4 linked regions of the Lonchura striata genome follow. The protein of the gene in region 3 interacts with the protein of the main gene of each other region in a pairwise test. Links are inferred from orthologs where the notes say so. Each region holds a gene or a part of one and is shown on either strand. Other genes may lie near its edges. The genes, in order: C4H4orf46, GABARAPL1, KXD1 and TCEA2.

What was found.
Region 1: the proteins of KXD1 (region 3) and C4H4orf46 interact in binary tests that used the Homo sapiens proteins (3 or more experiments, as listed by UniProt). The two-hybrid records come from large-scale screens. The link is inferred for Lonchura striata from reciprocal best matches to the Homo sapiens genes KXD1 and C4orf46.
Region 2: the proteins of KXD1 (region 3) and GABARAPL1 interact in binary tests that used the Homo sapiens proteins (3 or more experiments, as listed by UniProt). The two-hybrid records come from large-scale screens. The link is inferred for Lonchura striata from reciprocal best matches to the Homo sapiens genes KXD1 and GABARAPL1.
Region 4: the proteins of KXD1 (region 3) and TCEA2 interact in binary tests that used the Homo sapiens proteins (3 or more experiments, as listed by UniProt). The two-hybrid records come from large-scale screens. The link is inferred for Lonchura striata from reciprocal best matches to the Homo sapiens genes KXD1 and TCEA2.

The regions. Positions count from the first base shown.
Region 1 is NC_134606.1:40,736,494-40,743,774, reverse strand, and holds C4H4orf46 (renal cancer differentiation gene 1 protein), read right to left. Parts: upstream 2,702-7,281; 5' UTR 2,696-2,701; coding exon 2,534-2,695; intron 2,442-2,533; coding exon 2,286-2,441; 3' UTR 513-2,285; downstream 1-512. Other genes in the region: ETFDH (electron transfer flavoprotein-ubiquinone oxidoreductase, mitochondrial), read left to right, coding at 2,926-2,959, 4,832-4,978, 5,381-5,610, 6,516-6,597, 6,889-7,007.
Region 2 is NC_134607.1:2,234,600-2,242,491, reverse strand, and holds the start of GABARAPL1 (gamma-aminobutyric acid receptor-associated protein-like 1), read right to left. Parts: upstream 3,013-7,892; 5' UTR 2,911-3,012; coding exon 2,821-2,910; intron 1-2,820. UniProt on the Homo sapiens protein: Ubiquitin-like modifier that increases cell-surface expression of kappa-type opioid receptor through facilitating anterograde intracellular trafficking of the receptor. Involved in formation of autophagosomal vacuoles.
Region 3 is NC_134630.1:7,140,369-7,147,364, reverse strand, and holds KXD1 (kxDL motif-containing protein 1), read right to left. Parts: upstream 3,010-6,996; 5' UTR 2,839-3,009; intron 2,532-2,838; 5' UTR 2,526-2,531; coding exon 2,431-2,525; intron 2,347-2,430; coding exon 2,194-2,346; intron 1,172-2,193; coding exon 1,125-1,171; intron 593-1,124; coding exon 357-592; 3' UTR 112-356; downstream 1-111. Other genes in the region: peptidyl-prolyl cis-trans isomerase FKBP8, read left to right, coding at 3,541-3,814, 3,951-4,120, 4,362-4,450, 4,691-4,908, 4,982-5,154, 5,239-5,316.
Region 4 is NC_134619.1:6,781,236-6,788,769, reverse strand, and holds the start of TCEA2 (transcription elongation factor A protein 2), read left to right. Parts: upstream 1-4,525; 5' UTR 4,526-4,644; coding exon 4,645-4,713; intron 4,714-5,311; exon of another isoform or gene 5,312-5,534; intron 5,535-7,114; coding exon 7,115-7,177; intron 7,178-7,534. UniProt on the Homo sapiens protein: Necessary for efficient RNA polymerase II transcription elongation past template-encoded arresting sites.

The sequences.
Region 1 (7,281 bases), on a different chromosome or scaffold from region 3:
ATTCACTCATGTAAAGGCAATAGTGAAATTGTAATGATAGTTCTGATACAGGTTGGACAAGCCTTGATCAGCCTGGTCTACTGGGAGGTGTCCCTGCCCATGGCAGGGAGAGGCTGGGACTAGATGATCTTTAAGATTCTGATTCAGGCAGAACCAGAACTATGATGAAGAAATAAACAAAAATTAGAGGTTTGTTTTGTTTGGTTGGTTTTTTTCCTAAGTGAGTATCCCCCAGCTTTAACTGGTGGCAGTTTCCCCCGTCTTACTCTGGAAAGACTGGACTGAGTATACCAGCACTTTGCTGCTTCTCTTTTCCTCACTTTTCTTAACAGGCTACCAAAAGTTGCTCACCACAGCTTGCAGACTTCAACAAATTCCAGTCTTAAGATGTATCTCCATGAACAAGGGAGATGGTCAAATAGAAAATTATCAGTCTTAATAGGTGTCACGGCTCACTTTGAGCATGACTGGATGCATTATAGTTAGAGTAATTGAAAGACCGCAGACATTCAGCACTTTTTGAAGCATTATTTTACTTCCCAGAATTACAAGGGTAAAATACAAAATATCCTATCTGAAACAATCCCCTAGAGGCAGTTCCTTCACACATTTTTACTGAAGAGAATGTTTTCTATTATGAATTATTACAGCTTCCCTTCTTCTTTCAGTACCGTATTCAGTCTGATGGCCTAGAAGCCCAAAAAGGTAAAAAAAAGCTCTTTTTTCTGTGTTGATTTGAAACTATTTAAAATTAAGTTAAAAGATACTTACAATGTTTGCACTTAACTTCTTAGCAGTATAAGAAGTAGAATTTTGAAAAAGTGTGGCTCACACTTCAACTGTTTACAGAACTTTGGATTATCTTTGGATTTGAAACTGAAGATTGTTAAGCATCTTGTTTCCACTACTGTATGTTCTATTGAAATAAAGTATTATCTGCTGAACAAAATTACTTCTTTTCCAAGATGTCTAGCAACATTTCGGGTTGTAGGGGTTAAAAACACCTAAGCAAAATCCTGCCACATGGATTATCTTTAGCTAGGACAATTAGAATTCAATTCAATAGAACTTCCTTACTCAGGGGCCATCCCTCTCAAGGACTGCAACTGCCTTTGGTGAGATGTACAACAATCCCCGACCTTGCCATTACCTGGTTTTCACTCCACGTGATTATGGTTATATTCACTGTCACCTTTGTTTCTATCAGTAACACAATAATAGTAGATACTTCATAATTTTTGCAACTTCTTTATTGTTTTGATAAGCAAGCTGCAGTGGGTCTTCCTCAAAGTCCTGTAAGTAAAAACAAGTCATAGCAGAGTCACATTCTCCTGCAGCCTGCCATTGCATCTCAGCATTACTTTTTTTCAGTGCCTGGTAAAGGTACAGGAGTGTCAGGACAGCTATTTATTACAGCTCAGCCATCTTTCAGACCAAAAGGTTCTATTAATTCTAAGCTCTAGACTATCAAACTAGTCACTACTTAAGGCAAAGATAAAAAACAGGACCAAATACTGAAAAAGCTCTGAAGTGCTTCCCCAGCGACAGGAGAGAATACATGTCACAGATTCTATTCTAACTAATAGAAGCTTTTACTTAGAGATCAAAATAATTCATCCTATCAGTAAACAATGCTGCTAAACTTCTACCCTGCAGATATATATTGTCCATGATAAGGCACTTTATTACAACAAAAGGTAGGGTAAAATTGTTTGCAGTAATAAAACATCTTGCAAAAAAGAATCTGCAGCTTTATTGACATACATTGTAATACTGCTAAAAATAGTAAAGTTTGGGATATAGAATTTTTCTACAGCTCATAAATAAGCCACAACTTGCCGCATTATCCCATACTCAACATAAAGAAAAAGTGTGTGTAACAAAAAACTGAAGTTGATTGAAGTTTTTCTGGGGTTGGCCGGGTTTCTGCTGGTGACAGCTCTTAAAAAGGAAGGCTGACAATCCTTTATCACTTCCCTACAAGTAATGAGTTCTGAACGTAACACACATACTTTGTATCTACCACACTAACACGAAAGAGATAAAAATGAGAGAATAAGATCGCTTGAGCTTCAACGAAGAATCTAAAAGTCAAAACTGATTCCCTAAACGAAGTTTTTTTTTTCTTCGGTAGACTAACATAAAACGTCCATACGAGAGCCCCCAAGTATTTGTGAAAGAGGTCGGGGGGAACACAAAACTCCACGTGAGGTCCCCAAGGCAGCGGCCGCGAGGAGCCCCGCCGCAGCGCGGGCCGGGCGGGCGGCTCGGCGGGCAGGGCCGCGTCAGCCGCTGGGCTTCAGGGACTCGTAGCCCTCCCTCAGCAGGTCCCGCCACGTCCTGAGGAACCGGGCGTTCTCCGAGCACCTCGTGGCCAGCTCCTCCACCTGGGCCGACACGGCCGACGTCGCCTCCAGGATCTTCGCCAGCGAGAAGGCGGCCTGGAGGGACGGCAGAGAGGTTGGGGGTCGCCGGCGCCCGGCAGCCCCCCCGAGGGGCCCGAGCCCGCCCGAGGGCAGCGCGCCGCACTCACATCGCCGATCTGCAGCTCCACCTCCTCCAGCAGCTCCCGCGTGTCGCCGCCGGGCAGCTCCGGCGGCCGCGACCCCTCGCTCCCGCCGCGCACCCTGCGGGGCTGGGCGCCGGGCGAGCCCTCGGGCACCGCCGCGGGCGGCAGCGGCCCCGCCTCGGCCATGTCCCGCTCGGCGCTCCCGCCGAGCGCCGCCCACGGCACGCCCGGGCCGCTCCCGCCGAGCGCCGCCCGCAGCGCGGATGGGCGGCGGCGGCCGCGGGCGGCGCTGGGAGCTGTAGTCCTGCCGCCGGGACGGGGCGGAGCCGTGGCCGGCGCGCAGGCGCGGCAGGGCCGGGGCCGGCGGGGTGTGCGCGGGGCGGACGCAGAAGCGAGAGGTGCCCGGGGCCGCTGCGATGCTGCTCCGCCGCTGCCCGTCCGCCGGCCGAGGTAACGCGCCGGGGCCGGCTGGAGGGCCCGGGGCCTCGTCCCGGGCTGGGCAGGGCCGGGCTGGGACGGCCGCTCGTGCGGCGGGTGGGGCCGGCGGCTGGCGCGGCGCCGAGGCAGAGCAAAGGTCGCGGCCGGGTCGCGCCGGTGTCCGGGCGGGCGCGGGGCCGGACCGGGGCCGGCTGCGGGCCCGCGGCTGCCCCGCGGCTCCCCCTGCCCGGGGCCTCTGTGCGCCCGGAGGCGGCGGGACAGCGCCGTGCGGAGCGCTGCCCGCGGCCCGGCTCTGGGCTGCCGACACGGGCCGCTCACCTGCGGCGGCGTGCCGAAAGAGATGGGCGGGATTTTTGAGCGGCGCGAGGTGTCACCCGCTTTAGAGGGTGAACTAAAGCACTGGCACGAGTGTCCTTGCTTGGGAAGTAGTTGTGGCGACAGCATCCCGACAGCTGTTACTGAAGAGCTGCCGCAAAGTTTCTCCTTGGCCATGTAGGCGTTTCCCATCGCTTGTCGAGTCCCTGCGCTCTCAGTAGCGTCGTGGCCCAGGCACTGTGTGCTTGCTGGGGAAGAATCTGCCCGTCCAGCGTTTGCACCCACCTCTGTTATTATCAGAGGTGTTCGGAGCAGAGTTTCACTTCTTTTGCATATGTGCAAATTAATTGATTTTTTATATATATATATGCTGTGTGATTCTTAGTACCATCAGTTATGGTCAAATAAAAAAAATCCTGAAAGTTAAGTTAAAGTTTCATAATATATATATGAGTGTAGCTGTTACCAACCTTATAGAATGCTTGTTCTCAGATCCTGCTTGGTTGCAGGTAAAGGATAACTAAGAATTATGAGGTGATATGATAATAGTTTTTATGTTATATTGGTTAAGGTACAAAATTCTTGTCAAGGAGCCAACATGGATAATAATTGCTACCTCGCATTTAGAGACCTCTGTTCTGTCACCAGGACACAAGATGCTTGTGCTGACCTTGCCAATTGCCATTCTCAACTAAATATCTCAGTCATAGCACACTGGTGATTTCACTTATGTAGTTTTGCAGAAATACTCCACTTTAAATGTGGTACTAGTCTTCTTTATCCCTGAAGATAGAGAATTTTTTAAGGAAGGAAAATTATTAGTCAACGTACATTAATTCACAGACCTTTTAACTATAACTAGTTTTCATGCTAGCATTTTTTATTACAAATCACATGCATATTATTTGTTTCTAGAAGAGGGAAATGATGACATGTAATAGCCCTCTGAAAAGATTCCTGGTTTGATAATTTGAAACTTTGTTTTTCATCCATTTCCTTACACAGAAATTCTAATTTGTTCTCACAACAATTATTGTATTTGCAGCAAAGGTAATGGCTACCTGTATCTACTGTTCCTAACTTTGGCTAAGCATACTTGGGTTCAAGTCTGTGCTTTTACTGCAGACTATGGTGTGTACTTTAGAAGCATCATGTGTTGAGATGTCAGAGCTAAACTTGCCTGTCCTGTTTCTACTGTTGCTTGGTCATTTTTAATGCAGCCTGAAATAAACCTTTCGAAGTTCAAAATTAAATCAGAACTTAAAATATGTTTGGCACCTGTGTATACATGCATATTATCCTATGTCAGCTGTGCATGGCTGGCCTGTGTACTGAGTAAAGAATGCTTAAAGAGGAAGCTTATTTTTTTTTCCCTGATAAAAAAATTACACATCATCCTCCTTACCTGAGAATTTAAAAATCTGTGTTTATGGTTCCTCATCTTTACATCACCTGGTAGCCCTTTGGGAGGGGGGGAAGCTGTTATATTTGTTGCACTACTTGTGTCTCTGAAATTTTGAAAAATTTGGAAAACTATTGATTTGACAAAGTTGTTTCTGGTTTTTGCAGCACGTCAGTGCATTCATGCTTTAAAATTGATAAAGAAAGATTGCCTTCTATCGGTGCGTGTCTCACGATGTGCCTCTACCGCCTCTGTGCCTCGCATAACTACACATTACACAATTCATCCTCGGGACAAAGACAAACGATGGGAAGGTAAAAACATTGCATTCTTTAAATGCTTTGTTATTATTATTATTATTATTAATCATTGCTGAGTCTTAAAGACACTAAAATATGTTGCTGGTTTTTTCTCTTCATGGAAATTCTCTATGCTTAAATACAGTACTAATATTTCAAATGACAATTTTGCTTGCAATCTCACAATGAGTGTCTTTAGTGCTATAAAATATTATCAGAAGAAACTTTATGCTTGTTTCCATAAAGAAAATATACAAGCAGCTTTTGGTTTAGTGATTATCATAAGATCTAGTACTAGTCAGTATGTATCTGCTGTTTTTTTCAGTTGCTCTTACCATGAGGGTTTAAGTTCAGTGAGAGAGAGGCTGGAAGAAATTAGAGATTGGCTTATGTTATTATCAATTTTTTCTATTGAAGGGGTAAACATGGAAAGATTTGCAGAAGAAGCTGATGTTGTCGTTGTTGGAGCAGGCCCTGCTGGCCTTTCTGCAGCCATTCGACTCAAACAGCTGGCTGCTGAGCACAGCAAAGAACTGCGTGTTTGTCTGGTGGAAAAGGCTTCTCAGATTGGTGCACATACATTGTCTGGTGCTTGTATTGAGCCAAGGTCCTTAGAAGAACTCTTTCCAGACTGGAAAGAGCGAGGGGTATGTATGAGCATGTCAACACCAAAGTTCATTACTAGATTGTAATGAACTTCATATTTGACTGATTCTGGCACGAATTAGTACCTGGTAGCATTAGTAATTAATACCGTTTTAAAATACATTGATGGAACAAAACAAAAATGGGTACCTTCTTTTTAGTATGTTTCCTGTAGTTCAACAATGCTAAATGTTTTCTGTCTACACAGACATGCTGTGGCCTTTGCTCTTTTCTGTAGCAGTCCTACTGCATATACACAATCTGAATGGTGCAGCCTGGGGTGCCCTGCACTTGCTGCCTTTGTGCAAAATCCAGCTCTTGTGTACAAGCAGGATGTCTGGTCCTTACCAGTGACAGATATGCTCGATCTGTGCAATAGCTCTTCCTGGAAATGGCACAGAGTAGACTGGCTTCTGTGCAGATACTGTGGTGTAACAAAGGCCTAAGATGATTTTAGGAGGGAAGTCTCAGAACAGCCTGTAACAAAGGCCTAAGATGATTGTAGGAGGAAGGTCCCAGAACAGCCATCTGACTTGCAGACTGCTGCCTGCTTTCACCTGAGAGATGCAAGAAGTCAGCCAACAGCTCTTTGGTTTGCCTTATGGTGATAAATCTGCAACTTGAACTGCCATATTTAAAAAGGTCTAGAATATTGATGTAGCACAGGCCTGTGTACAATAGATGTTATTTGCAAAGCTGTATTTTTTTTTTTACTTCAGTAGTTGTGTTGATTCTTTCCTGATGACTGCATTATAAAGTACTTTATTTGCTCTTTTGTGATACCTTCCCATAGAAGTGCTATACTAAACCTGTACTCTACTGCCAGTTTGATTGTTTGATTTTGTTGTTTGTGTTGTATTGGCGAAGAAAATATAACTCTCTGCTTCTTCTATTTTATTTGTTGTAGGCTCCACTTAATACTCCTGTAACTGAAGACAAGTTTGGAATTTTAACAGAGACATCTAGAATTCCAGTGCCAATTCTTCCAGGTAAAGTTTACTGAGGGAGAAGAGAGTCAACTTCCTCTGTGTCTTTTTGGAGACTTCATGAATCCATGAACTTCTCCATGAATCAAAAGAAGTTTGATTCCGTGTAGTGCAGCAAGTGTATGTAGAGTATAATAGGTTACAGTGATACACTCTGTGTAGGTGATGGCTCTGATAACACATGAGATTAATTTTGAAGGTAGTAGCTGTAGATGTGACATCTACTGTATGCAGCTTTGGTTATTTTGCTTAGTGTCCGATGTGTTATATCTGTGTGTGTCTTTTTTTGCCTAGGACTTCCGATGGTTAATCATGGAAATTACATAGTACGTCTGGGCCACCTTGTGAGTTGGCTAGGTGAACAAGCAGAAGCTTTGGGTGTTGAGATATATCCAGGCTATGCAGCAGCTGAGGTACTAATGACATCAGTGTGTGTTTATGAAAAGTGGCTTAGGAACCCCCTTCAGTGCAGTCATGATCATTTGTACATGTGCAACATTCCTTTTAAGTGATATGTATTGTGAAAACTCTGTTTCTCTGTCTAAATTCCCTGGCTCAGATCCAGCAAAGTGCAGGTGGATCATACAGTGCATGAATAAATACATAATCTTAATGTTTGACCATTTAAGTCATACTGCTTAGAAGTTTTGCTTTAGAACTTTTAATATATAGATTCAAAATACAGTT
Region 2 (7,892 bases), on a different chromosome or scaffold from region 3:
ACAAAGCTCTGCAGCTTTAGGATCAAACAAATCAAGAGGTCTTTTGCTAAAAGATATTTTTTGTTAGCAGAGCTAGGCAAAATATTTACCTCCGAAGCAGGAATTATTCCAAAGTGACCTGATCTCCTTTTCCATTGAAACCTTTGGAACTACTGTGTTTGTGCAGAAAAAACCTGCAGGCTTTTTTTTCCCTCATGTGTATTTTTGAACTGGTAAAAGATATATCATGTTTCAATCTATATGGCTTGCTGTTCTGCAGAAGCCATTCTGACCACCTAAATGAAAGCAAAAGCTGGATTTTTCTGAACTTCCTAAACTTTTTAATTTCCTTAGACCCTGTAAATACTCCACAGGAAACACTGTGGGACTGATTTCTAAGGGCTCCATGCTCCCATAGCTCTTTGGCAACCCAAATACAGCTGTTGTGTAAGGGAAAAAGTTGGACTGCTGTGGACTAAGACTTCTTTGGAAGCAAAATGATGTTGACCCACTAGTGAAACACCACACCAGAACAAAATGTTATCATGAGCTTGGCGTATTTTAGCCTGGACATGGTGCTGTGCTAACCTGAATCTTTCTAAAGCCAAGTGAGTGTCTGCAAAATATCTCACACCAGAGAGGTACCAACTAGGACATCTTTTCCCTGTGCTCCATTTGGATGTGGCCAGCACAGCCAAACCCGCTGAAGTTTCCAGGTTTGATTTTAAAATAGAAACATGGTTGCCTCAGCTACTTCAAGATTTTCAAGTACCTAAGTTAGCACAAGGCATTCAAGCTCCTTCAGGGAGTCTGAGGTAGGACATGGATTTCTGTACAAGATGCAGCTGGCAAATGCTGTGAGAGAAGGACACTACCACAACCTCACTGAACAGCAACACACAACACTTCTCACATTTTTTACCAGCACAGCCAAACAAAGCAGTAGCTAACACAATAAACTGCAGTGGGGAAAAACCTTTAGTTCTTGCCTCCAATTTAAAAAGCTACTGACAAGCCAAACTGCTTGCTGTGACTTCCCTAACTGGAGGTGGGGGGGAAGGAGGGGGATTGTAGATTGGTCATTAGATAATAAAGGAAAAGAAGTCATGCCTTTGAGGTGACTGTTGGGGGTTCTAAGCCCCTAGGAAAGATTTAGGAGAGATTTAAATCAGATTACCACTGATTTAGGAGAGCTTAAGGGACATCTCCCTCCTGCAAAGATGCACGGAAGGAATGGAGATGCTCTGCTCATCTGACTGGCAACTGTAGTCAGTTTTGCTGTATAATGCAGCTTATCTCTTCCGAGCCACTAAACCCTTCCCATACATAAAAAAAAAAACAAAACCAAAAACCAAAAAACAACTAAAAGGAAAACCGTAAGGGTAGAATACAGATAGCTACATTTGCCTGGCTGTTGAGTGGCGACTGTGATAACGCAGGGCAGTGAAATCTCATCAAAATGCTGAGATGTATCACGGCACTGCAGCGTAGGCAGCCAAAAGGATGACATCTTCAAGGATCCTGCTGTCAGGAAGGGCAGACACAGAAGTGATGTGAAGAACAGAGTGCTGCATTCAAGAGGCCATCCCTAATAATTCACATCTGGGCCTTGCTGTGCATAATTTCCAATTATCATTAACTCCAGCACACCTTGTTATTCTGGTCCTGGTTTTCTTTACAAAGTTCTGCTGATGAGCCCCTGTCTTGACCTTCTTTACCTCCTGCCAGACTGGGCCTTGTCCTGGGCTCCCCACAGGGCTCTTCCCGACACATTTGTCATGGCCTGCTGTGCAATCTGCCACGTTAATCCTCAATTTACACCTTGTCTCTCACCCAACCTACACAGCCCTCATCCTAAATACCCAACCCCACACACCTCAAGCATGCTCAACCTATGCCAAAAAAGAGAGAACAAAGGCACCCAAATACTGACTTCCAAAAACTTGTTTCCAAGTCCATTTGAGGGTCACTCCCAAGATAAAAAAATGTTGTTAGCCTGCAGGGAAAACATGGGGTGTAACTGTTCCCCCTTTGTCATTAGTTTTTCAGGAAGGACCCAGTTTTTTTGAATGCAGTACAGTTGTGCAGTCTATCTAGGGCAGACCTCTCCAGTGGGGAAGGAAAAAAAGAATACTTGCAAAATGTTTATTAAAAAAGAAAAAACACTCTACACTTAATTATATTTGTCTTTTTTTTTTTTTTTTCTTTCATCCCAATAATTATTCGGAATTATGAAGCCAGAAGTTTCCCGTAGGCACTCCAAAGGGGCCTAAGAATGAGGAAGCAAAATTTAGCTAGATGACCTTGCATTCCAAGTGACATTTTCTCCACAGGATGATTAAACAGGAGGGTAAAAGGACCCAGAAGTATCATTTTTTTCTGCTCATGCAAAGGAAAAGAGCAAGGCTATATAGAAAAGACAAGCCATAGTGAAGTAAAATAAAAATAACAGGGACGTACGAGATGACCCGGATGCAGACCGTGTTTAGCATGAAGAGTACCCGGTTAACCGCCTCACTGATCTCCATTTTCACAGAAACACGGGTGAGCTCCTTGCCCACTCACCCCCACGCATGCCAGAAAAAGATCAGCAGCGTTCCCACCGCGGAGTCACCGCGCATCCCGGGGAAAAGGTGTATTCCACCCCCACCCGCACCGCAGCCCTCCGCGCATCGCGAATAGCCCCAGCTTCGCTCTAGGGAGAAAAGCAGCCGGGGATGCGAATCAGAGCAGCGAGATCACGGCCATCCGTACTAAACTCATTTCCTTCCAAAACAAGGCGAGCAGCAGCCGGCGGCCAGCACGGAGCGCAAAGGCGGCCGCCCGGCAGCGCGCACTCACGGGGACTCTGTCGGGGTATTTCTTCCGGATCTTCTCCCCTTCTTTTTTCCTGTACTCGAACGGGTGGTCTTCCTTGTACTGGAACTTCATGGCGCCGGGCTGTCCCTCCGCTGGCGGCTGCTGCGGCTGCCTCCGCCCGGCCGGCGCTGCGCACAAAGCCGCGGCCGCTCCCGCCCCGCCGCCAGCGCCGCTCTGACGTCACGCCCGGGCCCCGCCCCGCCCTTACGTCACGGGGAGGGGTGACGTCACGCGGAGGTGCCCCCCTGACGTCACAGGGAGGCACCGCGCTGGCCGGGGCAGGGAGAGGTGGGCGGCAAGGAAGGGGGGGCACCTTCCGTCAGTGTTCGTGCACTGATGTGTTGCCCGGCAGCACATAAACAAACAACTGTTATACACGAAAATTTGTCCAGCCAGATTAAAATGAAAAAATAAAATATTTATTTTGCAATCCAATTCTATCTATCCAGCCACACGGAAAGAACAGAGCCGAGCCCGGGGCTGGCCCTGGGTGTGCAACAAGGAGTCAGCCTCAGCAGAGGTTTTCCTCTGTGCCCACACGCCTCCATCCTGGCATGAGTGGTTTTTATAGGGAAAATTCCGCCTGAGGTCAAGATTTTTGCAATCAGTCTTTTCTTCTATTCAGAGTCCATAGGTTAAAAAAATTTTCTTTTTTGGTGATGAGGAAGAACAATTCAGTGTCTGGAGTTGTTGGATCCCTTGATGAAGTTTACGGGAACCCTGCATTCACATGTATCTGCCCAAGGATTTCCATCATATCCATCTCTGGGCATCCCGTATCTCTCCAGACATGGCCCATCAAATCGGGCTCTAATATACACCAGGTGTCACCTGTGAGGTTGGGGGGGACTCCTAATACAAACATGTATACTCCAACAAATATTCAATATCACATTTATCATACCAGAAATGGCGCAAATTAGATCTACTACACATAACACAAGCATTTAAACACAATTTTTATTTTTTAATACATACATGCCCTCTGCAGTGTGACTCAGGGCTGTCAAAACAGCACCAGCCTCAGCGGGGCACAAGGCTCGGGGCTCCCCAGGAGAGGCCTGGGTGGCCCCACTTGCCCCGATGGGTGTGGTGCGAAATGTAAAAAATTGTGCTGCATACACAAAAATAATGGCTCATCCTTGTGAAGGAATAAATAAATAGGCTCCACAACTTGGGGTAGTTATGAAGGGGGTATGTACGGTCAGCGCCTGGCACAAGTGAGATATTTCTCCAAGACTTGCACACTGAGTTTTAATCTGACCCAAACTTTTATTCCCAAAGGTGTTCCATATGCAATACGTTACACAACTTTTCTATGCATATTTAACTCCTGGCCCCGCCTGCCCTTGTCCCTAATGCTAAATAAGTCTACACCCTTCTGGGCACACGTAGTTTGCTGTGGTGGTCGCACGGGGGTCCCTGGTGGTCTCTTGAGGCTGAAGATCATAGTCATCCTCATGGTTGAACTTTAGTACTCTTCTTCTCTGCGCATGCATTTTCAGTCTTTTGGTGCTTATCTGAGTACAAGTATCAGTCTGAGAGATAAGTCTGGAGATAGAGGAGCCTCTTTATCTGGTTTCTTTTTCTTTTTGATCCCTTTTTTTTATTGCTTATGCAAGAAGGTTCAGTAATTTGCATTTCTTATGCCCTTTTGTACTTTGGTTTCTTAAGTAAAAAGTTAAAATTCAACACATAATTTTACAAGCTAAAATAGAAATGCTTAATTCCTTTTGTTAACTTAAGTGAATTCCAAAATTCTCTGTTTCACTTGGACTGGCCCCGTGGCTGCTGGGGTTTGGGTTGTTGCCTTTTTTGTAGCACCTCTCTGGCAGAAAGCGTTGCCATATGATGGGTCACCCCAGATGCGTGTTGCAAACAGCAGGCAGCTAAAGGTCTGCCAACAAGCCAAAACACCCAGCCAACTTCGGCCCAGTTACTCAGCTGGCACATAAAATATCTGGGTTTTTTTCCCCTAGGAGTAGATCAACTCACAATTATTCACTGATCAGCAGAAGAGCAGGTATTAATGAATGGCTCAGCATGCTCAAATCAGGACAAAAATAAATTGCTACAATTCAATGAGTTGGATTGTATTAAATTATTTTTTCTTTGCATGCTTTACCTAGAGGAAACACAATTTTGCCAAGGCTGATCTTTTATCTGTGCAGGTGTTTTAGCCATAGCAGACTATGAGTGGAACAGCCAGATGCATGAGGTGATTCTCCATGGCCACACCAAAGGCAGAGGTAAAAAGACACAGATTTCCCAATTCAGCCCCGTGTCTTTACTGAGGATGAACAGGGGTAGGAAAAGGTGTGCTGGGGTGTGATTCTTCTCACCTGAATCATGACACCTACTTTTGGATGGCTGAAGTGTGTCTGCAAAAACTCTGGCAGGTCCTTTACTTTCTAAGCTTTTATTACAGTTACTTTTTTTTTAATACAAATACTTTTATTTAGTATGGGGTGGAGTGACTTCTTGCTAATGGCCAGTTCCAGCAGGTGCATGCCCAAATCTCCTAAGGATCAAGCAGCCCACAGTGGGAATGTCACCAGCCACAGTGTCCCAGCTTTCTCTAGTTCATGTGCACCAGGTTTGTACAGGAAGCACCGTCAACACGTTTCTGTCTGTCCTAGGACACGTAAATGTTCTCGCATGGTTGCCAGGTCAGAGGAGCTCAGAGGGATGAGTCAGAAGGAAGGAATTATTTTTTGCAGTTCCATAGCAAATATCTCAGATTGAAGGAGCCCCAGGGTTTAGACCCAAGGAAAATTCTGGTTTCATGGCATTAAACTTTTATGTCAAGCCTGTGTTTGGCCTCCTTGCCTCCTGACTGCCTGCAGCACAGCAGTTGCTGAGGTGTACTGAAGGTTTGCAGTGATGTTCCTCAAGCACAAAAGAGAGGAAGTTTTCTAGTCTGTTTCACCTAAGCCACCAACATATTCTGGCAAATTTAAACAGACCGATCTCAAACTCCTCTTATCATGTGAATTGCTGTTTTTATCCCCAGGACTTCTCCCAAGGCAGCTAAGGTAACACCTGGTTTTAATTTCTCATGACAAATCAGAGAAAAGTGCCAGGTTTTTTTTCCTGTTCTGATGCAAAGACATGGCCCTGTGAGCAGATTGCTCAATGACTTCTCCTCAGCAAATGCCCTAACTGAAGTTTCTCCCTGCCCTGATGGTGCAGCTCTGGATGTGCAGCCCCAAGACTCCTCCTGCTTCCCCACTTTGTCAGGCACCGAATTCCCAGCTCTCTCCTTCAGCTTCAATAATAACAACAACGTCACTGGCAAAACAGGCAGGAAGATGATACATGCAGAAGCAGTGACAAACATCTAAACATCTGACTTAGGGTTGTTAAAATGTCAGCCCATGGGCATGTGACAAACCCCACGTTCTGGATTCGTTTGCCAGAGGGAGGAACTGGAAATGGTGTTGGCTAATTTTCCTACCCTGGACTGCCAGCACAAAGTGCTCCTTCAAGGACTGTCAAAACAATATATTTTTTCTTAACCTAGAGTGTCAGAACACTGTGAGCACGTTCTGTACTGCAGTATCTGCAGGTCATGTGGTACATTACACGAGGGATTTCCCAAGCATTGCCAATGCTGCATGCATAGGAGCAGGAGACAAATATTTGCACAGAACCTGGGGGCAGGCTTTGCAGCCTGTGCCGTACTATACAGTCCTGCTTATAACTCTGGACTCCCTTGCATGTTTCTTTCATTATTACCATTATTCATTATTGGGTCATTTCTGCCTCTACAGACTTTTTTTTTTTTTTTTTTTAATCTTAAGTGTGGACTCCGCATATCAAAGTGTCTTTTGTCAGGAAATTTGTGCTTTGTGGTCTGAACAGTGATTAAACCACAGATGGCACACCTGAAGGCACTCGTGCTTCTGATCTGCTCGCTGCCACCCGTGGCACAGTCCTTGCCTGGTGTCTCTGCTGTGTCCCTCGTGACTGGTCACCAGTTTCTCTTGGCACTGGATCTGTAGCACCTTCAGAGCCAGTATGGGCACATTGGTCTTGGATGAGGGCACAGGGTTACTCACTCCCAGTAAACAATGTTTAATTGTCTGAATGTTTTCTTTTCCTCTAGGAAAGCACTCTGTGTTGTCCATGCTGGGCTGCTGTCTCGCTGCTCTATTTTCTACAATTTCTTAGTTGTTTTTTTTCTTTTTTTTTTTTTTTTTTTCAAAAAAAGGCTGCTCTTTCTTACCATACTTCTTGTATGGCCCAGCTTCAGCTAAAGTTGCTTAAAGGCATACAAATGATGTAATGAGGAGATTAAGGAACACAATCACAATTGCTGCATGATCAAAAGCAGCAGTAACAGCCCAGACTTGCAAAGCAGAGTTTGAGATCCATTTGTTCCAGCCAGTGATTGGGAGTGGCTCGTTGGGGAGGGGTATCATTGTTCCTGTGAAAACAAAGGAGCAACAGTGGGGCCACTGGGATGTTTCTGAAAACCAGTTTTTCTCAAAGACTGCGTGTTTTAGGGGAACCTAAGGGTGGCACTGTTACCAAACAAGTTAATACTTCTTTTAAAAGGAGCCTGTGCAGCAGTGTCGGGAGGGAAATTGCTTTAAGAATATTTAATCCATGAATTGAGTAACAGATGACAAGCAAGCTATGGGTGATGCCCATGTGTTAGAAAAACAAATTACCAATTTAGGGACTGATGTGCTTCAGTGCTCTTCGACCAGAGAGAGAAATTTTTCGTTGAGACCTGGCCACAAAGAATGCAGAATTTGTAACCAAAGACACTTAGAGAAATTGGAGATGAAGGAGAAACTAACAAAGAAAATTACTGAGATTCTCTCTACCTGGGAAAAAGAAATAAATAATAAAAAGACTAAATATGTGGATTAATTGGCATTAGAAGCAATAAATAAATAACAATAGGTGATAGAATACTATTTAATGAAGAGAACTATGTAGCTTGTAAGCCAATGAACACTAATTTCTTTGCTCAGATGTATGAATAGTTAAAGGTTTTGATAACTGGCATGTTCTGTGGAGTTATTCACATGTACCCTAAAACC
Region 3 (6,996 bases):
TCCTACAAAACCTAAACACCTGTGCCCCAAAAACGGCTTTTCTGCACCAAAAAATCTATGCAGATGAAAGCGTAGCCGCTCTCCTGAGCGCAGGAACGAGGGAGGACAAGAGGCATTTCCAACCAGGATTTACTGATTCCCCTGAAGCCAGCGCTGGCTTTCCACCCCAGCCGCAGTTTCCAGGCAGAAGGGCAGCGCCTTCCTCCCTCAGCTTCTCCCAGTTTCGCTTCCCTCTTCCCGAGGAAAACCAAAAAAAAAAAAAAAAAAAAATAACCAAAAGCAAAAAAGCAAACCCAAAAGAGCGACACACAGCTATAAATAGAGGATAGAAAGTTCTCCGGGGTGGGACGTGGCTCCTAGCCCAGGCCGCTGGCCGTGTCCTCGTCTGTCAGACTCTGTCCGTTCACGGCCGGGCCGTCGTAGTGGCCTTGGGATAAATCCTCAAAATCCTGGCTGGTGGCAGGGGAGATGACGTCGGGGCTGGTGTCACAGGACTCCGTGCTCTGCTCCGAGGTAGCGATGGTGGTCGTGGTGCTCTTGGGGACGGGGTCGAAGTCGTCGTCGTCCTCCAGGATGGGGGACTCGTGGATGTCTGAGAGGGGAGAGGGAGGTAAAGGTTGGTGGTGGGGAGAGCAGTTCTCCCATCGTGCTGGGAGCAGGGATTAAAAAATACCCGGAGAATCACCAGCACGTAAATTAGGGGTTGTTTGTGATTTCTTGCAGCTGGATTTAATGGAATTAAGGAGGGTTTTTTTGATTTTTAGGGAAGCAGCTACATGCCAGCACATGGACTTGTGACTCCTGAGAGATGTTCTTGGGAACAGAAACTGCTCCCACAGGAATAAAACAGAGAGTGGAGTTCCAGGACAAAGGGAATGGCTTCCCACTGCCAGAGGCAGGGATGGATGGGATTTTGGGATGGAATTCCTCCCTGGGAGGGTGGGCAGGCCCTGGCACAGCTGTGGCTGCCCCTGGATCCCTGAAGTGCCCAAGGCCAGGTTGGATGGGGCTTGGAGCAGCCTGGGGCAGGGGAAGGTGTCCCTGCCACGGCAGGGGTGGCACCAGACGGGCTTTGAGGTCCCTCCCAGCCCAACCCATGAATCTGCACGTCAGGAATCACTCACTGCTGAAAGCCTCTGGGTACTGCTTTGCCAACTTCCCTTTGAGCGCCCTGGGGAGGAGAGAACAATCCGAGTCCGTGGGGAGCGGAGGGAGCCGGAGCCGAGCTGCCCCACAGCTCCCAGCGCTGTGGGCAGTGCACACGAACCCCGAGGCTGAGGGATTCCCACCCCAAACCCCCAGAAGAGCCCATCCCACCCTTCCCAGCACACGGGCTGTTTCTGAATCCCACGTTCTGTGACCATCCCAAGCAGAGCCCATCCCATCCCATCCCAGCCCATCCCAGCCCATCCCACCCATGGCAGGGACACCTTCCAGTGTCCCAGGGTGCTCCAAACCCCCTTGGGCACTGCCAGGGATGGTCACAGCTTCTCTGGGAATTCCATCCCACCGTCAATCTTAAAGGTCCCAGAGGGAGGGACACCTTCCAGTGTCCCAGGGTGCTCCAGACCCCCTTGGGCACTTCCAGGAATGGTCACAGATTCTCTGGGAATTCCATCCCAGCCTGGAGGTGGGATATTCCTTCCCAATATCCCACCCAGATTCCCCTTCCCACTTTGAAGCCATTCCCTGTGCTGGGATTCCAGTCCTTGTCCCAAATCCCTCTCCAGCTCTCCTGGAGCCCCTTCAGGCTCTGGAAGTGGCTTCAAGGTGTCCCTGGAGCTTCCCTCCTCCAGCCCGACCTCCAGTTCCCACAGGGAACGATCCCTTCCCCATATCCCCCCATCCCCGTGTCCTGTTCCTCCATCCCTCATCCCCAGTCCCTCTCCAGCTCTCCTGGATCCCTCAGGGACCTCCTGGTGACATCTTCACACCATGGTGTCACCTCGTTCATGGAACCAGGGACTCCCAGAGTGCTTGGAAGGACCTTAAAGCCCATCCCACCCCAATCCCATCCCGAGCAGGATCATGGAAACCCAAAGCTCCAACCTCCACGTGTCACTCCATCGTGTATTTTCCCTTCCGCAGCAGATTTTTCTTCTCACAGCCCCCCAGACTCTGACCTGTGCCCCGCTGTAACGCCCCGCCAGCCCCCCCAGGCCACCTCCCGGGCCGGTATCCCCGGTTTCGCACCGGATCCTCCGGAAGATGCTGTCCAGGTCCTTCTTCATCTCCACCAGGGTCCGGGTGTGGTGCAGGAAGCGCTCGCTCATCTGCTGCATGCGCACGCTGGAAAGGTTGTTGAAGTTGAGCAGCATCTCGTTGGTCTTCTCAAACCGATCCAACCTGCGCGGGGGAGGCACCGGGAGCTCGGCAAAGCTCCCGGTGCCGGTACCGGCACTCCCACCGCCCGCTCCCCCCGGGACTCACATGTTTTTCTGGGCTAGGATGATGGCGTTGACGTCCTCGGCGTTCACCATGCCCAGCACCCTCCCGCAGAACACCTGCGAGGCCGTGGGCTCCATCGTGGCCTGCGGGACCGCGGGACCGGCTCAACCGGGGGCACCGGAGCCCCCCGCGCTCCCCGCACCGGTAACGGAGACCCCCCCCCTCCCCTTCCCCTCCGTGACAGCGGGACCCCCTCCGCCCTGCCGTGCACCCAGCAGCGGGCACCCCGCCGCCGTGCCGCCTCCCGGGGCGGCCCCGCTCGCCGGTAACGGGATCCGCTGGCCGCCCGCCGGTGCCGGTAGCGCCGCCAGCCCCGGGCTCCCTCGGGAACACGGGTGCCTGAGCTCCCACTGGTGTCCCCGGGGCCTCCTCCCGGCAGTGCCCGCGCACCTGCGGGAGCCCGTCCCGCCGCTTCACATGACGGGAGCGGTCCCGGTACCGGGGGCGGCAGCGCCGCTTCCGGGTGTGCAGTCACGTGGGGCGCGACCCCGCGCCGTCACCGCGCCGAGCCGGAAGTGCCGGAGAGCGGCCGGGCGGGAGGGACGCGACCCCCGCGGGCATCACGGAGCCTCTCCGGTACCGGTGCCGGTGCCGCGCCCTCGGCCCCGCCGCGCCGGGGCGGCCGCGCTGGTGGCGGCCCCTTTAAGGCGTCGGGGGGCGCCGCGGGCGCGTGGCTGACGGGCGTGCTCCCCGCCCAATGGCGTGGCGCGGTGGGCGGAGCCGGGCCAATAGGAGCGGGGGGGCGGGGCCTGCGCCCGCGCGTCCGCGGGCCAGGTGGGAGCGGCGGGGGGCGCGCGGCGGTCACGTGGGGCGGGCGGGGGGCGCGGGGCCGCCCCCCCCCACGGCACCGGGACCGCGACCCCCGGTCCCACCGGGACAGACCCCCCCACCACCGGGACAGACCCCATCCCACCGGGACAGCCCCCCGCCAGGCCCCATCCTTCCCCGCGCTCCGGAGTCTCCGCTGTCCCGTTGCGCATCCCCCGGCCCCGGAGGGTCCCGGTGCTGTCCGGAGCGGCGGAGCGGCTCTGCCGGTAAGAGCAGGCTCCATCCCTGTGCTCTCTCTCCCCCGCTCCAGGTCGCTCCGCCGCCATGGCGTCCAGCGGGGAAGAAGCGAGGAGCGGCTCCCCGGGCCGGGCGGGCACCGGCACCGAGCCGGCGGCGGACGCGGCTCAGCTGGACACGGCGGAGGATTTCGAGGTGCTGGAAGAGGAGGAGGAGGAGGAGGAGGAGGATGACCTGAGCGAGCTGCCGCCGCTGGAGGCCGTGGGGCGGCCGGCGGCCCCGCCGCGGGAGGACGCGCAGCCCCCGGAGCGGGGCGCGGGGGGCGCGGCCGGGGACCCCGAGGAGTGGCTCGATGTTCTGGGTGAGAGCGGACGCTGCTCGGTGCCGGGGCTCCCCCGGGGCTGCCGCCGCCGCCAGGGCCGGGCGGGAGGCGCAGGAGGGTGGGGGCCGCCGGGCTTTGCCCTCCCCGCGATGTGCTTCGCTCTCTCTGTGCGCAGGGAATGGTTTGCTCAAGAAGAAGACGCTGGTGCCGGGCCAGGGCGCGGACAGCCGTCCCCAAAAGGGCCAGGACGTGACAATCCGCCTGAAGGCCACGCTGGAGGATGGCACCGTGGTGGAAGAGGACCCTGCCCTCACCTTCACGCTGGGGGACTGCGACGTCCTGCAGGTGAGCACCTCACCTGGGAGCAGGACCTCACCTCGGGGGCCACAGGGAGGGTTGGGGTCGGTGACATCCCTTTGGTGGACATAAGCGGCCCTTCTGCCCTTTCTCATGCTCCTTCCCTGCGATGTTGGCTGAGTTAGAGGGGGTTTGGAGCCACCTGGTCTTGTGGAAGATGTAAAGGTCCAACCGTGACGGGAGGTTGGAACTGGAGAACCTTCACAGTCCCTTCTGTTGTCCCCTGCAGGCTCTGGACCTGTGCGTGCAGCTCCTGGAGATGGGCGAGACGGCTTTGATTGTGTCAGAAGCCAAGTACTGCTACGGAGCTCAGGGCAGGTGAGAGCTGGCAGGGCGCTCCCAAACCAGGGCTGGAGAAGCTGTCCCCTGCTCCCCTGGTGACAGCCCAGCTGTCCAACCTCTGCTTCCTCACGAGCAGCGTGTCCTCCCTGGAGCCGAACGATCCCCATCATTCCCTGCCCCAGGAACCTTCCCTGGCTCGGATTGCTGAGCCACGGTGCCGAATCCACCCAGCCCGGCACCTGAGAGAGGTGACAATGGCCCCGTGGCTTTGTGCAGGAGCCCTGACATCCCCCCCAACGCGTCGCTGAGGCTGGAGGTGGAGCTGCTGGCGGCTCGGGACGCGCCGGACCTGGAGCTGCTCAGCGGCAAGGAGAAGATCCAGCTGGCCAACCGCAAGCGGGAGCGTGGCAACTTCTTCTACCAGCAGGCAGACTATGTGCTGGCCATCAACTCCTACGACATCGCCCTCAGGATCGCGGGCTCCAGCTCCAAAGGTAGCTTGTCCCCACCAGGAGAGGGTCGCTGGGCTCCTGGCTCTGCTCTAACCCGGCCTCGGGGTGTGTGCAGTGGATTTCAGCCCGGACGAGGAGGCCGAGCTGCTGGACGTGAAGGTGAAGTGTCTCAACAACCTGGCGGCCTCGCAGCTGAAGTTGGACCATTTCAAGGCAGCTCTCAAGTCCTGTAACCTGGTGCTGGAGCACCAGCCGGGCAACATCAAGGCTCTGTTCCGGAAGGGGAAGGTGAGGAGGGGACCCTTGTGCGCGGCGTGGCGGGGGCTGAGGGGCGGCTCAGCCCTGCTCCTCCACCCGCGTGTCACCCTGCAGGTGCTGGCTCAGCAGGGGGAGTACAGAGAGGCCATTCCCATCCTGAAGGCAGCCTTGAAGCTGGAGCCTTCAAACAAGGTAGGCTGGAGGTGTGTGCTGCCCGTGATCCCCCTGAGCTGGGCATCTCCTGCATGCTGCTTCTCCATTGTCTGCGTCCCTACAAAATCAGCGTTGCCCCTGGGAGGCTGAGACTCCCTGGAGCTGTCCCCAGCTCCGTGGAGGGAGGCTGGGAATAGCCCCCAGAGCCTGGGGAGTGATGGAAGCATCACGTGGAGTGTGGCTGGGCTGGTCTCTAGCCTTATCTCCACGGTGAGAGGTTCCCCGTTGACCTTTGGTCCTGCTGGTGACAGGAATCCCTGCCAGCCCATCCGTGCTCCAGCCATGCCCCAGGGAGGGTCCAGGCTGCCCCAGGTGGCTCGGGCACTTTGTGCTGTGGCTGGGGGAAGTGGAGCAGAGCTGAGTCCCCACAAACTCGCTGAGCAGCCCCAAGAGTGAATCACTGGCTGCTGGGAGCAGCCAGAGCTCAGTCCAGCACCCGGGCAGGGCGAGCTCTGGGTCAGGAATTTCCTGTCAGTTAATGATCAGCTGCAGGACTGGAGCCTCGGGAGAAATCAAACACCAGTGCCAGGAAATGACCCCAGCAGGAGCGAGACTGGGAGGAGGCAGGGAGGTATTGCCTGCACAGGGTCATCCTGGGGGTCTTGGCTCTCCAGATGGGCTTTAATCCTCGCCTGGATCTCTTGTGTCCATTTCTTTCTTGGGAGGTCCACCAGACCATCAGGATACATGTCACAATCCAGTCCCTGAAGGTCACGGCTGAGATGTGGCACAAGCAGGTGCCTGGTGGCCCCACAGCACCTTCAGGGGCGGTCTGAGCACCCTTGGAAGGGCGAGCAGGACCCCAAACCCTTCCTTTGCCATCAAGGTCAGGGTGGAGAGGGAGCAGCACTGGGAACCATTCCCCTGGCACGTCCCTGGGCAGGGCGGCTGCTCCCCAGTTCCGATGGAGCTTCTAATTGGAGAGGGCTGGAAAATCCGAATGCCCGGCAGTGACGTGTCCAGCGAAACCACAAGGACAGCAAATTACTGCCCTCCCCGGCTGCTGCCCGGGCTCCAGGCAGGCGTGGGTGACTCAGGGGCCGCAGCTACCGGTGCTGAAAACACTCCAGCAACGCTGGGCTCCACCTGCCCTGCTGCGAGGCGCTCACAGACATCCCTTCTCCTGAGCCCTTGGAAGTGTTCTGGGGGTGCTGGTGGTTGTGTGAGGCTGATGTGACAGCCCCGGGGAGCTCTGAGCAGGAGCGTTCTGTCCTCCTGACACCCAGGTTTTCGTGTTGGAGGCAGCTTTTCCCGGCGTGGCACGGGCTGGCAGAGCCGGCGTGCTGGGGATGTGTCCCCCAGCAGAGGGCACAGCGTGGCTGTGCCACCAGGGCCACCACCACCACGTCCTTCTGCCACCCTGCCCTGCTCAGCTCCGAGGTGCTTCCTGCTGCTTTTGGGGAGCCTGTGGGCCCCACGCAGGACTGGGAGCCTTGTCCTGCCCCAGCAGGGCAGATGTGGACACGCTGCAGGTCCTGCTGCAATCCCACTTCACACCAGGCTGAGTTTTAAGCCCGCTTTCCCAGCCTGCTTCCAGACAGAAAGTGGGAGAGCTGGTGCATGTCTGTCCTCGAGGCAGACACTTTCCTGTCTCGATGAAAGGATAAAATCCCTTTCCTGATGTCTGGCATCAGCCCTGGGCTCTGCTCCCGGCTGCCA
Region 4 (7,534 bases), on a different chromosome or scaffold from region 3:
CAAACCTGCTGCCACGGAGGGGCACTGCCATCCAGAGAGCTTCCCACTGCCCAGATCTGCAGATCGCATGGGTGAGCAGGGACAGCATAGGAAATGCTACATGGGAAAGCCCTGTGTGGGAGCCCAGGAGCCCCTGCCTTCCCACAGCAGACTTATCAAGGCACCAGTTCAGAGTGGTGCTTTCCATGGGCCAAAAGGGAAGTGCATACACATCAGACTTCTCAGGGTCAAGGATGCTGGGCAAGCAGTGAGAGGAGAGGCTGCAGGGGGCAAGGGAGGGAACCGGGGCGTGGGGAAGGAGACACAAATAGCAAAATGAATAGCTTGAACTTCCTATGTTTTATGGAGGTGAATAAAAGGAGACAGAGAGGGGGAGAGAAAGGAGACCTGAATGCCTGCACAAGGTCTCACGCTCACACAGTCCAGCCTAGACCCCAGAAACTGCTGGTGGCTGATGTGGGGTGGCAGCCTGTACCCCCTTGGCTGGCATGTCTCTGGGCTGGCTGCTTGTCTGGCCCAGTGTCCCCCAGGGGTATCTCATGAAGCGTGACAGGCTGCTGCTTAGCATTTATTCCTCTCCCTGTCATTATTGTTTTGAACAGCAGCCAGTATAATTAAAATTGTTAGGAGAAAGAGGTTTAGGGAAAATCCAAAATGTCTCAGAAGAGCATCTGCAAAGCTGGAGGTCCAAACTCCACCCTGGCACTCACGATGAGCAGGGCCCATGGGAGCCATCATCTCCTCTGCATCCTCCCTTCCATGCTCCCCGTTTCTCAGGGTGGCAGAGGCTGGGCTAACACACAGGGTGGTCCTGGCCATGTTCCCCTTGCAGCTGCTGCCCACTGTAGCTAAATCCTGCAGCTTTTCCTGGTGTAGGACTTGTCCCAGGAGGTCCAGATGGCAGTGTCCCCAGGCACCTCACCTGCAGCTCGAGGACAGATGCAGTGGGGGGATGTAAGAAGTGGAGGACATGGAGCCCCTGTGGGCTGCTCTTCCAGAATGGCATGGATGGATCTAAAATATCTCCTGGGAACCATGATGCTTTCTGTTGTGTTAGGAGGGCCTGTGCCACAAGAGGAGGTGTGGAGAGGACCCTTGGCTCCTCAGAAGAGAAAACAGGATGGTCCATAAACAGAAATGGAAGTCACCATTCATGCCACATTCTCCAGGTTTCCTAAGTGTTTGAATGGAGGATTTGACTGCTCTAGGGTCAAATGTCCCCAGTGCCAGGGCTAGGAGATTAAGGACATCAGACAGCTCCAGCAAGGAGGGGAAGAAAAGGCAGATCCCTGCCTCCATTCCAGGGCTGGCACAAGTGCATGGTTAGAGGATTAATCAGGAGCCCTCCAGCCAAGGCAGGCTGAGGGTGAAAAGGAGAGGGAGGCACATCAAAACCTCTCCCCAAAATAAGTGGTGCTCTGGCAAAGCCTATGGCAGCTGCTCCCATCTTCTGCCTCAGTGTCTCCCAGCTACTGATTGTCTGTTGCTGTCTGGATAGGATCACTCATTACCAGCTCAGAGCCCAGTGTGTCACCCAGGACAGCCAATCCTCCAAACAGTGACCTGCTGAGGTCCTGGAGATCTGAGCACCCCTGAGGTTAGGGTGTGTCTCAGGACAGAGCTTCCCTGTGGGTTTTATGGTGGGTGGATAGACAAGGCAGGCCCAGGAGTGCCTCTCATCTCTGCTTTTTCCAAAAGTGGACCAAGCCTCTGGTGGTTGGGAGCAGAGAAAGGGTGGGGTTTGATGGCTGATCTCCAAATGACTTGAACTTACTGGGGATAGTGGAAGCAACTTGATCCAGCCCATTCGCTGCGTTCAAATCTGCTGAGAGTCGCATGGGAAATACAGTAGCCCAGTGGAAAAAGCAGGTGAGATTTTGTGGGGTTTTATTTTGCAGGAAACTTCTCCTGGCTCTCCCAGATCTGCCTGCCAAGGGCAGCTGCCAGCGAGGCACCACCAACGGAGACTTTCAGGGAGTCTCTTGGTGTGCAGGGGTCAGCAAAAGCCCCCTCCCAGACTCTCCCTGATGGACTCGCCCCTGCTCTGTTTTTAGCACATTCAAGTAGCTGCTTTCACAAGAGGTAAAAGAAAGTTCATGGATCCGTTGACAGATCACCCCAAGCGGGAATTTCTCTGGGAATTCCTGCAATAGCAGGTTAGCTCCCGCGGAGGTGGAGTTTCCTCTGGATCTACCTCCACCCAGGCTTGGGGAGAGCTCTGGCCACCGGCTCCACGCTTGGGGGGCAGGGCTGAGCGACGCCACCGCTGCTTCCCAGCCAAGGTCAGCCAGAAACCCTCCCTGTCCTGCAAGCGCCTGGCCTGTTGTGTCCTGTTAACCCTTGGGAAGAGCAGAGCCACAAGCTGGCAGGCTTGGGCTGCAGAGCTGGCCCGTGCCCAGGGGCACACAGGGGCAGTGGACATGCCCAGCAGGCACACAGAGCTGCAGGCGTGAAGATTTCGTGCCATTCTGTCCCTTGGGGACTTGCTGCCAGGCAGTGGTGGGCCCTGGGTGAGGCTGGTTGCCACTGCAGGAGGCCAGCGCTGGCAGGGAGATGGCTCCTGCTTGAGGCAGGGAGTGACGGGGTGATGGTGCTTGGCATCAGTGACTGTGTGCTCTGGAATCTGAGACACGTCCCCGGCCATACTTGTGGTCAGGAACCATCTCTGCGTTGCAGCAGCACAAGCCACACTCCCAGTGGCAGCAGTGCTGCTTGAGCGTGTCTCTGACGCCAAGGACCGGCGTGACCCGACCCCACACACGGGACAGGCAGCTGCTCATTTCCAGAAGGTCCCCTTGTTGGGACTTGTTTCCTCCTCTCTAACAGAGGTGGGCCTCACCAAAATGGCACCTCCTGACTCCACAGCCAGACCCTGCCAAGGGCTGGAGGATTTCCAGGTGCTGCACAGGCTCCAGACTGTGGGGTGGAGGGAACTTGTGTTCGCAAACACACGGCCAAGCAAAGAAGTTTCAAGGTGTCATGCTAGGGAGAGGGTCCAGTGCTCACTTTTGGTCTGGGACCACCTTTGCTGCTTTAGGGATGAACTGCCATGTGTCTCACACATCCAGGGTGCAGCTCTTGCTAAAGGGTATCCCAGAGCTCCGTGGTATTTTTATAAATCTCCATGGTATTGCTATAAAGAACAGCAAGCAGGCAGCTTGCTAGTGCACAGATTTGGGGATCAGCCACCCATCAGAGCTTTAGCACTGATGTGTTCAATGCTTCTCTCTCTGGAGGTATTCAAAACTCATCTGGACAAGTTCCTGTGTCACCTGGTTTAGATGACTCTGACTTTGAAGGGTGGCTGGATGATCTCCAAGCCCTTGAGCCCTACTAATGCTGGGATTCTGTGATTCTGAGATTATGCCCTCAGTGACTCAGCCTCGCCCCAGGACAGAGTGCAGTTGGAGACGAGCACTGGGAATTCTGGTTCCCAAGACCTGACTGTGCATCCTGAGGCCACACGTAGCATATCCCTGTGCTTCCACATGATCTGCAGCTCCATCGGGGCAGGACACGGCCGCTCTCCACCAGCACAGTCAGGGCCCTCTCTGAAACATCGGCGCTTGGCGAGGGCTGTGCATGGGAGTTCTCCCTCTGCCAGGAACCAGCTGGAGGGAGCGACAGCGCTCGGCAGCATCTCCCGGGGGATGCGCTGCCCTCGCACAGTGTGCGAGTGCCATCTACAGGGGCTCTAGCCCGGCCCCCCCAAAAAACCCATCCTCTCGCCACTGCTGACTGCTGTCCAGTCCCCAAGGCCGTATGAGGGGCACAGCCTCAGTTTATCCAGGGAGCATTTATCCAGCAGTTTATCCAGCACTGCTCCGAGGGCTCAGCACAGCCACGGACAACAGTCGCAGCCACAGAATGGTTTGGGGTGGAAGGAGCCTGTAAAGCTCATCTTGTTCCAACCCCCTGCCGTGGGCAGGGACACCTTCCACTATCACAGGCTGCTCCAAGCGCCATCCATGAAACTTCCAGGGATCCAGGGGCAGCTTCTCAGGGCACCCTGTGCCAGTGCTGACACCACCCTCACAGGGAAGAATTGCTTTCCAATACCCCATCTGACCCTGCCCTCAGTCAGTGTGAAGCCGTTCCCCCTCGCTCTGTCACTGCAGGCCCTTGTCCAAAGTCTCTCCATCTCTCTTGGAGCCCCTTTAGGCACTGGAAGGGGCTTTAAAGCTCTGCCCGGAGCATTCTCTTCTCCAGGCTGAACCCCGCAGCTCCCAGCCTGTCTGCACTGCAGAGTGCTCATTATCTCCGTGGCCTCCTCCGCCCCGCTGCAGCATTTTGGGACGCGGCAGTTCCTGCCTGCCGTGGCACAGCCCCCGCCCGGGACCGGGGGTCCCTCACCGCGGCTCCGCTCCGAGCCCCTCCGCGGGGCCCCCACAGCGCCCCCGGCGGCCGGGCGGCGCCGCGAGAGACGGCCGCGGGGCGCGCTGGGAGATGAAGTCCCGCCCGTGAGCCGCGCTCCGGCAGGCGGCGGGTGGAGCTGGAGTCCCGAGGACTACAACTCCCATCGTGCCCCGCGTGCGCCCGCCCTGACTGCGGCACCGGGGGCTGAGGTGGGCACCGGGCACCGAGCGCTGCTCCCCCCGCCCGGACCCCCGTCCGGCCCCGGCGCCGATCCCGGGGAGCGGCGCGATGGGCGGGGAGGACGAGATCGTGCGCATTGCCAGGCGTCTGGACAAGATGGTGGCCAAGAAGAACGCGGTGAGTGGCGGCGGCAGGGCCCCCGCAGCCCGGTTGGCGCGGGGGGCCGCCCCCTGCCCGCTCTTGTCTGGCGGACGCGCCCCCTCCTTTCCGCAGGATCCCCTCCTCGCTGCCGCGCTGGGGCACCCCCTCCTCGGTGCCGTTGTCAGGGGCGTCCCCCTCCCCAGACCCCATTTTGGGAGCCTCTCATTCAGCGCCGCCCCGGTCCTTACATCGTGCTGGAGCACACGCTCCCCCTTTAAAGTGGGGTTCCCTCCCCCAGGCCCCGTCGCTTTTTCCTTTCCCCATCCTTTGCGGAGGTGTGGCATCCACCCACTGCCAGATATTGAGCGGGCAGCCCTGTGTGCCCCCTTGGGTGCTGTGGGAGCCTCCAGTCCCCATGCTGAGCCCCCCACCCCAGGCCTGCGGCATCCCCAGCCCGCATCTCAGCACTGCGGGGCTCACCCTGTGCTGCCTGCCCTCCTCCTGGAGAGCATCCCCAGCCCTTCTCCCCTGCCCCTTGGGAGCCTTTGGGAGGGGAGTCCCCACCAGCACCGGCCTGGGGCCCCGGTCTGCCCCCGGGGATAGCCCCGGTGCTGATGGATTTGCTCCCTGCATCTGCATCCCACACCAGCACTGCTGCTCGCTGCCGTGGCCCCTGGAGTGTGGAGGGCTGGCCAAGCTGCTGTCTGCACTCCGGGAGTCTCGCAGGGTGTGCTGTGACCCCTGTGACAGCCTGGGAGGACAGGAGCCGGTATTTTCCGGCTTAGTGGGATATATCAGTAGAAACACGGTGTCATGCAAGTGCTAAGGCAGAAAGCTGACAAGGGTTTGTGAAGGAGGTAGGCTGTACATCTGTGTCTGGGGTGGGGGTGAGGGATTTTGGGGTTGGGAAGGGCTGTGGGGAGTGGGAGATGATGGGTGAGGAAGAGGAGGCATTAGAGGAATGTGGTATTCTGTGTTAGGATGCTGGGTACATCACAGTTATCATTTATGCTGGTGTAATCACAGGAACTTTTGGTTGTTGGACTGACCCTGCCAGCCGTGGGTAGAGCAAGCACTGTCACTTGTGTCGCTGTTGGAACAGGCCAGAGAAGTGTGTTTGGGCTAAAGAAGAGCCTGTGATGTCTGTTCTTGCTCGTGGCAGGTTTTCAGCATCAGTGTTGAAATAGGAAAGGAGCAACTTTGTAGAATTTGCTTCCAGCTACATTGGGAAAGAGGCAGCTTCTTACAGGAGGGGTATGCGACATTTCCTCTTGGCTGGCGTTTGAGATAGTGCTGAACTACAGCATGTTCTGTTTTGGCTAATCTTAGAGCTCTTCCTGCAGGACAGTTTCCCAGAGTTTGTTGCTCTAGTTTTTCCGTGGATCCTCATTTGCTGCCGTTGTGCTGAGTGGCTCCACTTGGAGTCACACCGGGTCACTTCGGGTGTTCAGGGCTGGAGGAATGGGAAGGTGTGAAACTGCCTGCGGTGGAAGTCAGTCCTTCTGGGTTTGGTAAATGTGTGTGGTTTATGCTGGTGTGAGTTGATTGTGTGCACGCTGAAAGCTTTGACTCTGCTTTGATTTGGGCATCTGTTCTGTAGGGTGAATTACAGCTGGATTGCTTCCTGGGATGAGTTGGAAGCAGCCCTTCTGTGTAGGGAGGACGGGATGTGAGGACAGGGCTGGCAGTGCAGACACTTCACTTCCCTACAATGGTGGCTGTGCAGGCCTTGTGCTGCAACTGGGCTTGGAGTGGTCGGCGTTGTAAATGAGCTGCTAAAAATGAACACTGGAAGCCTTGTGTGAGGGATGGGGGTTGGGCAGAAAGAGCCAGCTGAATGGAGACAGGCCCATGCCAGGCTGGGATGTGCTAGAGGGAGACAAGTGATTTCCAGTTCTCTGAGTGACTGCCAGTTTTAGGTGTCTACAGATTCCCCATCAGATTTTTCCTGGTTCGAGGATGTAGAGATGATGTAAGGAGACTTCACAGAGCAAGTGTCAAGTGACCAACCTGTCAGCATCACAGCTTGCTGCCTTTGCTCCTGGTCTCAGCTTTTCTCCTGAGCAGAATCGGGTATTAATATGAAAACTAGGAAATAGCTACATGGAATCACTGACAGTTGTAATTCAGAATGTGTTTTTCAGGTATTAAAAATGTTTAGCGTGCCAGGTAAGAATAATAAACAGGTGCTGCACTTGCACCATACACAAACAAGGACCTGTAGCACTTCAGTGGTCTTCTGTTTTGCCCATTCCAATGATTCAGGTGCCTTCAAGTTGCAGGATCTATTGTCTGGAACAGCACCCAGCAGTGCACTTGCTGATGTTTCAGGGAACATTTGGTGGTTTTCCCTTTGAATTCAACTTTCTTTGTCTATTCCCAATAAAATTCCTTTAATAAAAGCTGAGGCACTCATTCTTTCTCTTTTCCTCTCCAGGAAGGTGCAATGGATTTACTGAAAGAACTGAAAAGTATGCCTATGACTTTGGATTTACTGCAGGTGAGTTGCACAGTTATGGTAACAAGCTTAAGTTTACATCCAGATGAGTTCAAAATGTTCTCTAAATAAACTTAATAGATTTCATCAGACTTCTCGCCTCATGCAAAGAGTAAAAATAAACATTAAATCCAACAAAATAGTGCAGAAGTTAGGTTTTGGACTGGCAGTTCAAGAGCTCTGGGTCACTGTGTGTAATTGCTCAAATCTTGTTTGTAGGCTGCAAAAAGAGGAAAGACTGGGTTAAAGTAGCAAACACAGAGGGCAGTCGTGGGAGAAGTTCTTTGTAATGTTGATATTTAGAACTTTGGGGAGGAGTGAGCAGAATTACAATTTGGAGTCTGTGATGCGGTTTGGAGT